Linked DNA regions of Rhinolophus ferrumequinum. The protein of the gene in region 1 purifies or fractionates together with the protein of each later gene. This does not show direct contact. Links are inferred from orthologs where the notes say so. Each region holds a gene or a part of one and is shown on either strand. Other genes may lie near its edges.

Region 1 (6,884 bases):
TAATCTTAAATGGTAAAAACAACTTATCCTGGTAGGTTCTATTTTCTTTATTTTACAAAAGAGAAAATCACATTCAGAAGTGTTAAGTGACCTGCCTGAGGTCACCCCACAGTTGGAATTCAAACCCCACTAAGAGCTGGAGCTTCTTGCACTATACTGCACTGCCCACCCACTGTCTCCATCCTCTGGTCATCTCCGTATGCAAGTTGAAACAAGAAGGCAGCTGGGAACGTCCATGTGGGTGACTTGAATTTTTTCTCCACTTTGCTAGTGACCACCAAAGTGCCATGAGTATTAATTTTGGGGTTACAAATAAACTTTTACAACTAGGTGAATTTGCAAATACAAAATTTCCAAATAATGAAGGTCAACTGTATCTGTTTTTAACTCAGCTCATTTACTATTTAGATAATAACTATCAAAAGGTGCTGAGGAAAGAAATTTGCTCCAAATGGGAGTGGAGAGAGCATTAGGTGTATCTTACCTTGTTTTTGAGCTCGGAAAGGTTTTCCACCTCCATTATGGTGCTTTACACTTCTATCAGCCACAAAGCCAGAGGATAAAGTCACATTAGTGGGCTGGTTTCTCATTTTCTTAGCATGTTTTCTTTCTTTTGCATTAGACATTTCTGGGAAGAAAGTTAACAAATTTAGTACAGGGAAAGGAAACTTCCATTCAAAAATAAATTTAATAAATATTCATGTGATTCAATATTTAATTCTTCAATATAATAAATCTTTATTTATTTCAGGTGGATTGGTGATATCAAAATGTTATCATGATATTGATATATAGCAGGGATTAATAACCAGGGGGATCTCTAGAGGAGCCATGAATGGTATTAACATCAAAAATCTGATTCAATAGAAGAAATAATGCTATTGATGCAAGAGACTATACTGGTACATTCCAGTTACGCTGCCAAATAATTAAATCATATACCAATGTTGGCAACTGCATAAAGTCTTTTGAATGAAAAATGAGGTATGAGATAAGATCCCTATGCCATGATAAAAAATTAAATTAACTAAAGCATTTAATCAAAATTCTTGGGTAAAACATGAGCCACCTGAATCACTAAAATATAGAACACACTATTCTGATATGATAACCTTTACGAAAACTGAACATAAATTATTGATGTTTTCATTTCTACTACTGAGATGAGGCCAGCTGCACCTTTAATTTATAACAGCAAAAATATTTCAATTTGAAGGAAGGATAAAGGACAATAATCTGGAAAAGCCTGATGGATTTACTCAGTAATTCTCAATTTTCAACATCCCCCTTTTTTTCTGCATAGTTTCAAAGACCCGTTTTCTATTTTTAAATGAAATTCACTAATAACATAACCTACCAGACATGTATAAATTTTATCAATGCATGCTCTACAATATGGGCCCTAATTGTAATCTAAAGAACTAAAAAGTGGGGGCCGGGGCCGGCCGGGGGCTCAGGCGGTTAGAGCTCCATGCACCTAACTCCGAAGCCTGCCGGTTCCATTCCCACATGGGCCAGTGGGCTCTCAACCACAAGGTTGCCGGTTCAATTCCTCGAGTCCTGCAAGGGATGGTGGGCTGTGCCCCCTGCAACTAAGATTGAACACGGAATCTTGAGCTGAACTGCCACTGAGCTCCTGGATGGCTCAGTTGGTTGGAGTGCCATCCTCTCAACCACAAGGTTGCTGGATTCAACTCCCGCAAGGGATGATGGGCTGTGCCCCCTGCAACTAGCAACGGCAACTGGACCTGGAGCTGAGCTGTGCCCTCCACAACTAAGACTGAAAGGACAACAACTTGAAGCTGAATGGCACCCTCCACAACTAAGATTGAAAGGACAACTTGACTTGGAAAAAAGTGCTGGAAGTACACGCTGTTCCCCAATAAAGTCCTGTTCCCCTTCCCCAATAAAAAAAAATCATTAAAAAAAAAGAACTAAAAAGTAATTTTAATAAATGATATGCATTTCTTGTATGCAAATATTTCACCAAAATTGTATTAGATGACATTATGAAATAATGAAAAAACACGAAAGTTCTTGAGCAGAAGTAGGAAAGCCAAAACCTTAGCAGTATGTGGGGCAAAATGAGGAGAATAAACAGGATTTTCTTATATTATGTTTTAAAAGCAGGGCAGGACAGGGATCCTACCTAACTTTTTTACTCCTGTTTCTCCAACACCTAGCGAAGTGCCTTGCACAAAGAAGGGGCTCAATGTATATTTGTTGAATGTACATATGTGCGCATAAATGAGGGAGTGAAGCGTACCTGCAAAGTACTAATTAACAAAATAAAAAATAGCCAAGTATCACTCTTCTGACACAGCATGACGATTGCATAGCTGCCAAGTGACCAACCCTGGGGCCCTTTGCTGGATCAAGATCACTATCTTCCTTTTTGAAATCAGATCCCACACACTAGGGCTCTGCTCAGATCAAAGCGGAACGCATGGAGACCTCGTAAAGCTCCAGGAGTACTCAAAAAAAGGGAACATGGGAGGGGCGGGAAGGTGGAAAAGGACTAAATCCCAGCGTGGTCCCCTGAATGATCCATCTCGTTCCTCTACGGTTTAAGGAGAGAAGGTAAAAGCCCATTCCCAGAACGGCCTCCGCCCGGTGGGGCAATGCAACAAAATGATAAACTTAGAGGGCTCGAGCATAGGGGCCGAGGGAGGTGTGGGATCGGCAAGAGGGGCCCAGGAGCAGACAGCAAGGGAAGAAGAAGCCAGTGGGGTCTGAGGGAAGAGAAGATATAGGGGGTGGGGACGTGGGGGACAGTACGCGGACGCCGGGCAGGGTGCGTGCGTGCACACACACACACACACACACACACACTCACTCACTCCCCCAAAGTCGCGGACCCTAACAGACACCATCCCCTCATGACCTACCTGCTTGACGAACCGACGGAGGAAGCCAGGGCTTCCCGGTCAGAATGACAAGGCTCCGCCACAGTCTCCAAAACGACGTGAACGGTGAGAGAGCTGGAGGGAGCATGCGCCAGTGCGACCGCTGTCTCCACGTGGCCGAGAGCCGCAAGGAAACTACAACTCCCAGAACGCTGAGCGAACGCGCCCCGGCGTCTTGTTTCTGGTGGCACTGCTGGACTCTGGATAGTCCAGTAGTCGCGAGCTGGGGTAGTGTACCGGATAGTTCTCTCCAAGAGGCCTCAAAGGAAAAAGATTAGCTATGTCATCCTTGATCAGAAAGGTGATCAGCACCACGAAAGCCCCAGGGGCCATTGGTCCCTACAGGTAACTAGGCTTGTGGGAGCGCGGTCGGACCCCAGGCGTGTCGGGTGTGGGGTGAGCTGTTCGGCAGTGACCACCCGGATCATAGCTGGGGTGGGCCTGGGCCAACCTAATCTAACACTTGAGGAAACCTAACTCGGGAAACGGGGCAACGCACCCATGGACCCACAGTGGGTTAGGAACCCCACTAAGACACAAAGCCTGCGCTCCCGGAGACTTTGCCCCGACCCGGGTGGACTGCCTCACGGGGGAGCGCAGTCAGCCAGAAAGTTTCTGGGGTTAGACGTGGTCTGTTTTTTATTTATTTATTTTGTAACAGCTTTATTGAGATATAATTCACATACCTATAAAATTCAGCCCTTTAAAGTGTACAATCCAGTGACTTTTTTACTATACTCACAGAGTAGTGCAGCCATCACCACTACCGTGTTTCCCCAAAAATAAGACCTAGCCGAACAATCAGCTCTAACGTGTCTTTTGGAGCAAAAATTAATATAAGACTTGGTCTTATATTAATTTTTGCTCCAAAAGACTCATTCGAGGTGATTTTCCGGCTAGGTCTTATTTTCGGGGAAACACTGTATGTAATCTCAGAATTTGTATCACCCCAAAAAAGAAACCCTATACCCATTAGCAGTCACTCTCTTCCTCCAGCCCCTGGCAACCACTAATCTACTGTTGGTATCTATGGATTTGCCTGTTCTAAATGTATAGTAAATGGATCCTACAATATGTGGTCCTTTGTGACTTGACTTCTCTTTCACTTGGCATAATGTTTGGTCTAATTCTGTCTTAATTCAAAGGAGTAAATCCTATCCACAGATGTGGGTGCCCTCGGGAGAGGTGAGTTCTTTTCACAGAAATGCTTAGCAAAACCTTGCACATCTACCCACGACCCTGGATTTTACAGCACATATATAAATGCATTGTGATATTTATGAATTCTTTGCCCATGTTTATTTCACACTACTAAAATAAAATACAAATCATAAGAAAGATCATTTTCTAAGATTGCCCGACATGCTCTAGTTAAAATAGGTATACTGGCCAGAAGTCTATCTTGTGTACAGAAGCACTGTTAAATTGAAAGTTTAATTCCTTTTTTTTTTTTTAGATTTTGTTTTCTTAAAAATGTCTCAGCTTTAAAATTATTGGACCTTATATGCATTCTTGGAGACTTTTTTTCCTAATATTACTTTTGTTATTTTTAATTCTTCACTAAAGTATATCCTGTAACTTTTTTCCATTTTCCTTTTTAAAATAGTCTGTAGTATGTTCACTGTTAACTACAGCTGGAAAATTTCTGCAACTGGAACACTTGAACTATGACAAACATGTATTGAGTACCTACTATTTGCCAAACACTGCAGGAGATATAAAAATGTGTAAGAATCAATCCAGTATGAAAGACAGTCACACATATCGGGAAACGAAAAACAAACATTTTAATTTAGTGCATGTTGCATAGCAAGCACCATAACAGACCAACTTCTCTTAAGTCCCATCCCCACTTTACAAAAAGAAAACTGAAGCTCAAAGTGAACTTGTCCAAGGTCAAACAGTCTGCAAGTGACAGAGCTTAATTTGAACAAGCCCTACACTTACGTGTGGCAGATGAGTAATTATTATAGTAGGGTTAGAAATAAAGTGCAGTGGGACTGAGGGGACATGGAGGTTGGGTGAGCGGTGACAAAAGAGGAAAAGAAAGAATTTGATGCTAACCTTGGGCAGAGGGACAGAAGATTTAGGAAGGTTCCTAGTGAGAGGTAGTCTTTGAGGTGGGTTTTGAAGGTTGGATTTGCATTTACAGTACTATTGTAAAGTTTGATTTTTAAATTACAGTTGACCCTTGAACAACATGGGTTGAACTGCACAGGTCCACTTATACGTGGCTTTTTTTCAATAAATACTGTAAATGTATTTTTCTTATGATTTTATTGATAACATTTTTTTCACTAGCTTACCTGATTGTAAGAATGCAGTATATAATACATATTATGTACAAAATGTGTTAACCATTTATGCTGTTGGTAAGGCTTCCAGTCAAGGGTAGGCTATTTGTAGTTATGTTTTGGGGGAGTCAAAAGTTGGATTCTCAGCAGTTGGGAGGGGGTGGGCTCCCCTAACCCTCACATTGTTCAGGGTTGAACTGTACTTTGTTCAGGACTTCAACAGGAAGTTGTGGAGTGAAGGGCATTCTAATTAGAGTGAATGACTTGAGGTATAGAGCTAGAAGAAAACATGGCATAAAGATTTTCTGGAGTAACATTTAGTCATCCAAGTACCACTTTTCCTCTTTTTTTCTTTTCTTTTTAAACTCTTTTTTTCATTTGCCAAATCTGTGTACCACCTATATTATAATTTACTTTACACTTTATTTTGTGATGGCTCACTTTTACAAATTTAAAAAGCAAACTTTACGACAGTACTCTAAATAGAAAACCCAATAGGCAGTAACAGTAAAAAATAAACTCAATAGAATAAAAAATGTTATTAAATTCTAGCTAGATACTGCAGTTGGCTCAAAACCCAAGGCCTTTCTCTTTTTTTAAAAATGATAGGTTTCTTTAACTTGTTTTCTCCATGTAATTAGCGGATTGAACTCTTAATTGCTAACCTTTATTGAGGCTTACTCAGCAGTAGGCACTGTTCTCAGTGCTTTATGTACACAGTTACTAGTATTACAGTCCCCATTTTTCAGATGAAGAAAGAGAATGGAAAGGAAATCATTTCCTTACTGATATTCTGTATTTGTGTGTGACCTACGCTTTGGCAAACACTTGTTAGGAGTTAGACTTTGAATTTGAATTTTTGTTTTGTCTCTTGCTAAACATTAGCTGTTACAAGGTCTGAATTGTGATGGTTTCCAACGCTAAACTGAAGAGTATAAACTTTATTGTGAATGCACTGAGGAGCCATCAAATGTTTTTGAAGAGGAAGTGACATGATCTGATCTCTTTTAAGAAGAGAATTCTGATAGTAATTTGAGGAGAAGATATTAAGAATAGATAAGGGATATTACAGTAAAAGAAAAAATCAGTAATCTTCTTCCTCCTTATGCCCTAATGCTTATCCCTCAATCACCCATTATTTTTACCTCAGAATAAAAGTGATCCTTAACAAAGCAAAGTGATCACAGAGCCTGGAGCATATATCTTCCTCAAGTATATACTTTGTTCAAGAAAGAAAGCAGGATAGTAGTACCCCTGGTTGACTGACCTGGGAGTCAACTATCTTTATAAAGCTGCAAGCAAAAGAGAAGGGAATCATTCCATGAATATGCCCGTATGACAAGAGGAAAGCCATCAACCAGCTTCATTGTGTGGAGACTTTCCAGGATATTGTGCCTCTTGTGCTTTTTTGTATCCAAAAATGATACTAGAAATGGTGCTAATTTTCAATATTTTATGAAGAAAAAAACATACTCCACCTAACTAGTTATGTCCTGATAAAGTTAATTGGACGTGTTTTAACAACCATTTGGAAAATGAGATTTTATGCATGGAGTTGGTAGTGAGTGCACTTTTTGAAAATTCTGGGTCTTTTCCAGGAAAAATTCAAATGTGTTGAACTTTCAGTCCCTGGCATTGGGGTGGATGGGGTGTTGTCACTAATTAGCTAATCAGTTCAACACAT
Region 2 (7,867 bases), on another chromosome or scaffold:
AGGTAACATTCTGAAGGTAGGGCAGCAAAAAGCCCCCCTTTTCTCCACGCCCCGGGAGATTCCAGGCCAGAAGGGGACTTACCTGACCCAAGTCATCGGAGAGAAAGCCTCTGCTTGCAGAGTCCTTGTGACTGCCCAGTCAGGACTTCAGACACTGGTGGTCTCGGAGCATTGGCCCTTTTCCAGAACCAGGACCAATCTCTCTTAAGCTTCTACCTCTTCTAAGTTTTGTTTCTTTTAGATGAGGAAGCCCAGAACCAACCCAGGGCTCCTTGGTCGTTAGGATAATTTATATTCTTTCCACCCTTATTTGGCCACCTGAAAGAGTCAACCAGCCTTCCCCAGGGACTCATCAAGAACAATAAATTGGGAGGGCAACCAGTGCCAGTCTGGAGGGGAGGCCTCCCTGACCCAAAGCTCAAGCAGAGACATGGGGGAGGGACAACTTCTGTCAGCTGCAGAAACGTACCTCTTATCACCAGCAGAAGGATTTATTTCAGGGTTCTGCCAGCAAAGTGACTTACGTTTGTGTAATGTAAGTCCCCATCTCCTCCTTTCCAGGGTGCTGTTTTGTTGCATGGGGTGAGGTGTGCTTCTGAGGTCATGGGGCTATGTGCCCCCCCCTTTACTTGCTGGAGTTCTTCCAGCACACAGCACTTCCTCCTCCCCCAGCTGAGTTGGAGTTGGGCAGAAAGGCTTATGAGGCCGTTATCTCTCAGCAGACAGCTGTGCAGGGCTGGAGGCAGCAGCTTATCAGGGAGCCTGCAGGGATTCACAGCCCAAGTCCCAGCTTCTCTGCTGAATAGTAATTTCCAGCAATGGATTTGTGCTCATCTCTCTCCGCCCCCTCTCCCAAGGGTGTGCTGTCCTTTCTTAGAGAGAGGAGCAGTGAAGAGGAGATCCTACCCATGGGATGAGGGGCTTTGTGCTGGTCTTCTAGACAAAGCTCAGTCTATTGGCAGGAGGCTGCAGGTTTAGGGACCCCAGTAGGTTCTGCCACTCTTGGCAATGACCTCCCGGGGGAGTTCATCCATGCTCTTCTTCCTTTCTCTCCTAGAAAAGCAATGTGCTGCTCCCTTTTCCTTACTGGTGATGCACAGGGGGAGACAGGCCTCCTTCCACCCACAAGCCCGAGGCCAGAGGCAGTCAGGGAAGGCTGGAGAGAGAGGGAGAAGCCAGGGACTGAACACTGTGCTTCTCACACCATTTTGAAACTGTCCAGTCTGTGCCTGACCCTGAAGACTCCAAAGGCTAAGAATCCCAGGCTGGAGGGGACTGAGACACAAGGGGGCAGGCCAGAGCTGTCTTTGCCCGGCAAGTGGTTAGGAAAAAACCTGGGACAGAGCCATTTTTGTGTTTGTTTTATTGGAAGCAAGACTCCAGCTGTGGGGCTCAAGGGAGGAGGCATGGAGAGTTCTGTCCTGGGTCTGTCCCTCTGGGCCAGCATGGGGAGGGGGGGATGTTACAAGAGCTAGAGCCAGGGGCGATGCCTGGCCACCATAATCTCAGGATGTTCCTTAAAAGCAGGGGAAGGAAAACTACAAAGGTAAATGTCTTGGGGTGAGGGGCAGAATGGGGCTCCCCACAACACAAACTCCCCTACCAGTTTCTCACCCCTTGCTCTCCGCTGGTGGGGGTAATTCCAAGAGCTCCCTTTGGCTTCCACACTCCTCCTCATGAATGCTGGGTGTCTCTAACCGTTCGGGGTCCTGAGTAAGGCTCAAGAGTCCCACTGCCCGGAATTCCCTCCCTGAAGAGGATCCCAGTATGGCTCAGAAAAGATGAAGGTTGCTTTCAGGCAACACAAGTGGAGGAGCAACCGCCCCACGAAGCTTCCTTGGGTCCCTCTCTTGTGGTGTGGGGTCCACGAAACCAGTCTGAGGAGTTGAGAGCAGGCTGTGAGCTCCGGCTGACCGAGGTGTGAACGGCTGGAGGTACGTCTCAAGGTGGAGGCGCTGGGGCTAAGATCCAGCCCGTCTGGTGGCCCAGGGCCGGGAGTGTTCAGGTCGTCTGATTCTCTTCCGCAGCACCTGGCTCGAGTTGTGACCGCTTCGCGGAGCCTTCTCCAGCAGCGGGTTCCCTTAAGCTCCTCTTGGGCGTTGGCGCGGTTGGCTGAGATGAAGAGTCAGGATGGGGGCTCGGGGGCTGGTAGCCAGGTTGATGCGGATCCAGTGCATCTTTGGAAAGTAGGATGGCGAGGCTGGGCACGTTCTTAAGTACACTGAGGCTGGCGGCCGGCTCACTGGGCTTCTGCTCCGGCGTGGGCCCTGGCGGGAGGCTCTGCCACACCTCGCGCACGCTCCGGTAGCGCAGCCGGGTGACTTGGTGCAGGCCAGCCAGGCGGCGCTTCAGGATCTCGGCGCACGTGACGGTCTTGGTGGTGGCCCGACCGCAGCCGCTGAATACGATGGCGCGAGTGGCTGGCTGCGCCATGCTGGCGGTGGCGAAGGCCAGCAGGTTCCGGATTTTGCTGCCCTCCTTGACCCTCATGTGTACAGCGCCGGGCGCCAGGTCCGCGAAGGGGCCGGAGCCCGGGCCGCCCCCCTCCGCCCCACCACCCCCCGGCGCCTCCTCCGAGCGCACCTTACGGAAGTTCTCCATGCGCCGTCGTTGCCCGGACCGCGGGGACGCGGGCTTCGCCATGGGGTCGCCTCAGCCTCGGAGCTGCATGGCCGCTGGTCGACTGGGTAAAGGCCGGCAGGGGTAAGGGTGCGGGAGCGGCTCGGACGCTGGCGGGCTGGCTGCGACGGCGCGATCGTTGCTTCCCACTTCTCTCCAGGGATCGCTGCTCTATTCTGCGCTCTCGGCGCCGGATGCTCCGCGCCTTTAGCGGAGGCCCGGCCTGGGAGCCTGGGAGCCCCGCCCCTACCTTCAGGCCCCGCCCCTAACTCGGTCCTCTCGCCTCCGCCCCAGCCTCACCCGCCTCTAGGAATCCGGTCAGATCCTCTGCTATAGGGGCGTAGGAGCAGCGCGCATCCTGGTGCGCAACGGCAGCGCCAGAGGGTGACTTGGTAGGCGAAGTTCCCCTATAATCGTCATCAGCCCTCCCCGAGCCAACCCTTATAAACGGGCAAGCTAAATAAAAACTGTGTTTGCGTTGCAAACGCCGCTTCAAGCAGGGTCCCCAAGCCCTTCCGCGTGCGTTCCAATTGAAGACAGCCTCTTCTCCCCTCCCACGGAGAGACTTACAAGCGGCCTGCAGGGCCTCTTTCCCCCACTCCTTTGGGGACCCCCCCAACTCTGTCGCTTCCGCTCCTGAGCCAGTATTCTTGGCTCAAGGACAGCCTGTGCACGGTCAGCAAGTGCGGAAGGCGCTGTCTCCGGCCCTACTCCGTGCCTGCCCTCGGATGACTACGTCGCGGCGTGGTCCTCACGGGGCAGCCGGAGGCTGAGGTCTCAGCCTAGCCGCGCCTGACTGCTTTGGAGGTTACCGGACACCGGGACACCCCTGGGGAGTAGGCAGTGAGGCTCTTGGCCAAACTGTTCCCTGGGATGAATGGGAAGAGAACAAGGAGATCCCTTTTCAAGGGGGGTTAAGCTCCTTCCACCCCTGCCTGAAAGTCTACTATTAGAGCTGCAGGCCTTAGGATAAGCCAGGCATGTTTCCCTGCTGACGTGAATCCCCCTTCTTCCCAAGTGGTTCGCTGTCAGTCAGCTTTGGCCCCGAGACCTCTGGGGTCCTTTTCCAAAAAGGAGACTGGGCGAAGACAGATTTTAAAAGAGAAAAGGGAGGAAGATGGGAAGTTGAAGCTTTGGTGGCATTATGAAGCTATTGGGTGCCCCTCTCCGGGAACTCCGCTGGACCGAGAGAGAGTGGCCCCAGGTCTCCTGCCAGGAGAGATGAACAGTGAAGCCAAGAGGCGAGGACTGCTGAAGGCAGGCAGGGGTTTGCAGGAGCGGGACCCTTCCTAGAACGGCCCCAGCGCCTTTATCCTTCCACCCATCTCACGCACCTCACAGTCAGAACTGAGAGAGTGGGGCAGACTTGATCCGGGTGGGGTGCCTAAGACGGAACGTGGCGGAGTGGCGCACGAAGAGCTAGTGGAGGGCAACCCTGAAAGTGTTGGGGGCACGACAATGTCTGGGGAAGCTGGGCCCCAGTCTTAAGATGGAGCTGCCGGAGTCCTCCTCTCCCTTTTCAAGGCTGCTATCGCCTCCTCGGCATCCTGTAACTCCTAGCTCTCGGCCTTTGCTGTTCAGAAATCCGGGCTAACCCCATTACCGCTCTTTGGGAGTGGCTGGAGCAGGTGGACCTTTGCGTCCCAACGTTTGAGTGACGGACCTCCCCCGATCCCCTGGTCGCTCGCTGGGATGAGGGGCCCTCCGGTCGCGTTCTGCTCTGAATCTGGACTTGGGCCCCGCGTGAGCTCCCGCGGGCCCCACGAGGAACAGCCATAGAAGCCGGAGGCACAGCAGCCTTGAGAAGACACAAAGACTGCAGCGCTTGAGGGGGGGGGCGCAGGGGACCCCACACTCTGTAAGGCCAGGGAAGTTGTGGGACTTAAAAGGCGGCAGTTTGGCTAGGCCTGAGAAAGTCCCTGAACAGCCGGAAGCTATCTTGTTTCCCGGAAAATAAGACCTAGCCGGACCATCACCTCTAATGTGTCTTTTGGAGCAAAAATTAATATAAGACCAGGTCTTATTTTACTATAAGACCGGTATAATATAATATAATATAATACCCAACCGTATTTTGCTATAAGACCCGGTATAATACAATATAACATAGTATCATATAACATAATATAATATACCGGGTCTTATATTAATTTTTGCTCCAAAAGACGCATTAGAGTTGATTGTCAGGCTAGCTCTTATTTTCCGGGAAACACAGAACCTTGGATCGGGTTGTTTAGGGAAAAAGCAAGCTCTTCATCCGCGGGGTATATAAACCAAGGCAGAACGTTCCCTTGGGTGTGTGGAGGGGCATGAAGGCAGGAGTCTGCAGTTTGGAAGAAAGGGCCTGTGAGCTCTGGTTTTGCAAAGGGTGAGGATGCGGCGCCGCCTGGTCTGGCCCGGGAAGGCGGGGCTCCCCTCACCCTCCTCCCGCCCCGCGCCTGCCGTCAGCTGTACAGGACTTGGATTCACTTCGCTCCGGGGTCCTTGAAGGGAGAGCGCCGAAAAGGCCCGCACTCCCTCCTCCCTGTCCCCTCCCCTTCCTCGCTCCCTCTGCAGCACTTAAAATGTAAATGTACACCATGATTAGCCGCTGGGTCTCTAATTACCGCTGAAGCCATTCATTACCCTGTCAGCGCGCGTCGTAGCCCGCCGGCTGTGCGCTCCAGCGGGGCCGCCGAGTGGCAGGGCTGGGAAGAGGGGGTCGGAGGGATCCGAGAAGCGTGGGGGCGACGCTGCGTAAGTAAGAGTAGTGAGGTCCGCCGAGAGGAAGCGGGGGCTGCAGAGGGGCCACGCCGGGCAGGAAACGGGGTTGGCGCGGAAGCGCAGGGCCAGGGCAAGGAAAGGAGAAATGCGGAGGGAGCAGCCTGGAATGGGGGCGTTATAGACGTAGCAAAGATGTGAGGGAGGAAACGGCGATGAGGAGCGGGAGGAAGGGAGAGTACGCGGGGAGGAACCCGGGGGAAGGGGCGGTCGCGGTCCGGAGGGGAGTGGAGGCTCAGCTCTGGGAAGGTTGGTTGATAAATTGGAGCTTCTTTGGCCGACACTCCTCGACGGTTAGAACCGTGGAGAGTCAAGACTTTCTGTTAAAAGAGTCGGGTGCTAGCTGTACACACTGTGGGACCACAGGTATTTTTAAAGGGGGAGATATTTCCGTGTGTGTGTGTGTGTGTGTGTATGTGCGTAGATGTAAATGTATTTTTTAAATATCTGCAAGAAGACGGCATACGACATCTGTTACCTCTAAGGCCGCTTCCAGTTTTTGTGGGCCTCTTTAAGAAAAGAACTGCTAAATTACTAACTATGAATACAAAATTCAGCCCAGAGCCTTGGGACTGCCCGTGTCAGTGAGGTACTCACCTTGAAGCCTGAGCTTCATTAGCTTCTTTTGCCTCTGTGACCTTGAGCGTTTACTTTACCTCTATTCCTTAGTTTTCTAAGCTGTAAAATGGTGCTAACATAGGAACCTGCCTCATAAAGTGATTGTGAGACACCTAACAGTCTTAGAACATTAGCTAGTAAGTTCTCAGAAAATGCTGGCTAATAGTTTTCATATATTATGTGTGTTTAAGATAAATTTAAAAAATTTAAAAAGGGGGATGAAGGGGAAAGAAAGCTGGTGAAAAGGAAAGGAAATGAGCAAATTGGAAATTGGAAAGGAAATTAGAAATTGCAGTTTTCCCAATATGTTAGGGACTAAGGAGTGGCAAATCAGACTCCTTTCACCCTAAGGGGAGGTGGTGACAGGCCTGGCTACTGGGGCACCAGCCCCTGCTCTGCATTGGCCAGGCTTATGCACCTTTCCAATAGTACATCTTGCTTCTCATGGACAAGTCTCTTCTCACCCCAAGACTGGGAGAAAAATCCGTGGCACAAGATAGGTCTCCTTCTCCTCTGTCTCCAATGGCGGGAAGAGGACTCTTCCTATAGACAGACCCAGGGAAAAGACCTGAGGCTGAAAATATGCTTCTGTAAGTGGAGGGCAGGGAAAAGACCGAAGAAAGAGTCACAGCACTCCAGTTGGTAATTAATGGTGTTTATTAAGGGAAACTTAGACACGAGGCATGTCTTGGGCGGCTGCAAGAGAATTGGATTCTCCAGCAGCTTGGCAGGCACCAAAGAATTACACAGGGTAAAGGAGGGGGTAATCACAGTACTAGTATGTGAACGCCACTCGGTATGGAAATTGCTTAACATGCTTGACCGAGTCAGGACAACAACCTGTTCCATCAACCGTCACAGAGCAGGAGGCAGGAGAGGGGTGCTGATTTGTGTCAGAATGAACATTAATTACGATACGACAATCTCTAAGGCAGCTTTGCAGAAAGCAACCTCTATTGTGGCCTGGTTCCAGTTTGCTGGACAGAAAGCAGTCACATCCACATCAGGAGCATGAGGACCTCCCAAGGCCTCTGGTCCTAGTCCCAGCCCGGCCCATGAATGGGGGGGGGAGCATGCAAATGAGTCAGGAACTGGGTGCTCAGGTTTATCAGGCCCCCACCAAGGGCCCAGCATTGGGCCAGGTACTCTCACAGTTCTATTCCCTGATTAATCTTCACAATCTTCCTTTCCATCATTGTTTAACAAATGTGGAAACAGAAGCACAGAGAGGGTAAGTAACTTGCAACCACAGATATCTGAATGCAGGTGCTCTGACTCATTTTACTACCTCACCTGATTTGAGCTGCCCAGTAAAAGGAAGAGAGGGGGTTCCTAGAGTGAGAAAGATGTATGGGTTATTTACTGCTGCATAAAAAAAATGACCCCCAAAGGCAGCAGCTTAAAACAAAAACATTCATTATCATATATAGTTCCTGAGGGCTAGAAATCCAAGAGCAGCTCACAGGTGGTTCTAGGTCAGCGCCTCTGGTGAGGGTACTGTGAGGGAGTCGGCTAGTTTTGGGGGATTCACTCCCAAGCTCACTCACATGTTGGTCAGAGGCCTTCCTTACCACATGGGTCTCTCTGTAGATCCGCTCCTGACATAATAGCTGGCTTCCCCCAGAGCAAGACAGTGGGGGTGGGGGAGATAGAGATGGAGATGGAGAGAGAGAGAGAGAGAGAGAGAGAGAGATGCCAGGTACCTCTTCTCTTAGACTGAATCCTGGCCTCCAGAGTCTGTTCTAGACCTCCTGGCACTAGACCTCCTGTAGCAGGAAAGGGAAACAGGGCAGAAAGCCATCAGACAGACACAGTCCTCCCCAGCGACCCATACTGAAGGTCCAGGCACTCCAGGGTAGAGTTTTGTTCT

Evidence for each region. Proteins that work in one complex are often made in the same cells at the same time.
Region 2: the proteins of POP1 (region 1) and RPP25 purify together in Homo sapiens (affinity purification with mass spectrometry; 3 studies listed by BioGRID and IntAct, counting the BioPlex papers as one, with this or other methods). This does not show direct contact. The link is inferred for Rhinolophus ferrumequinum from reciprocal best matches to the Homo sapiens genes POP1 and RPP25.

The regions. Positions count from the first base shown.
Region 1 is NC_046297.1:40,023,163-40,030,046, reverse strand, and holds the start of POP1 (ribonucleases P/MRP protein subunit POP1), read right to left. Parts: upstream 3,006-6,884; 5' UTR 2,995-3,005; coding exon 2,889-2,994; intron 629-2,888; coding exon 485-628; intron 1-484. Other genes in the region: RIDA (2-iminobutanoate/2-iminopropanoate deaminase), read left to right, coding at 3,187-3,251. UniProt on the Homo sapiens protein: Component of ribonuclease P, a ribonucleoprotein complex that generates mature tRNA molecules by cleaving their 5'-ends. Also a component of the MRP ribonuclease complex, which cleaves pre-rRNA sequences.
Region 2 is NC_046289.1:99,496,838-99,504,704, forward strand, and holds the start of RPP25 (ribonuclease P protein subunit p25), read right to left. Parts: upstream 2,854-7,867; 5' UTR 2,644-2,853; coding exon 2,002-2,643; 3' UTR 1,615-2,001; intron 1-1,614. UniProt on the Homo sapiens protein: Component of ribonuclease P, a ribonucleoprotein complex that generates mature tRNA molecules by cleaving their 5'-ends. Also a component of the MRP ribonuclease complex, which cleaves pre-rRNA sequences.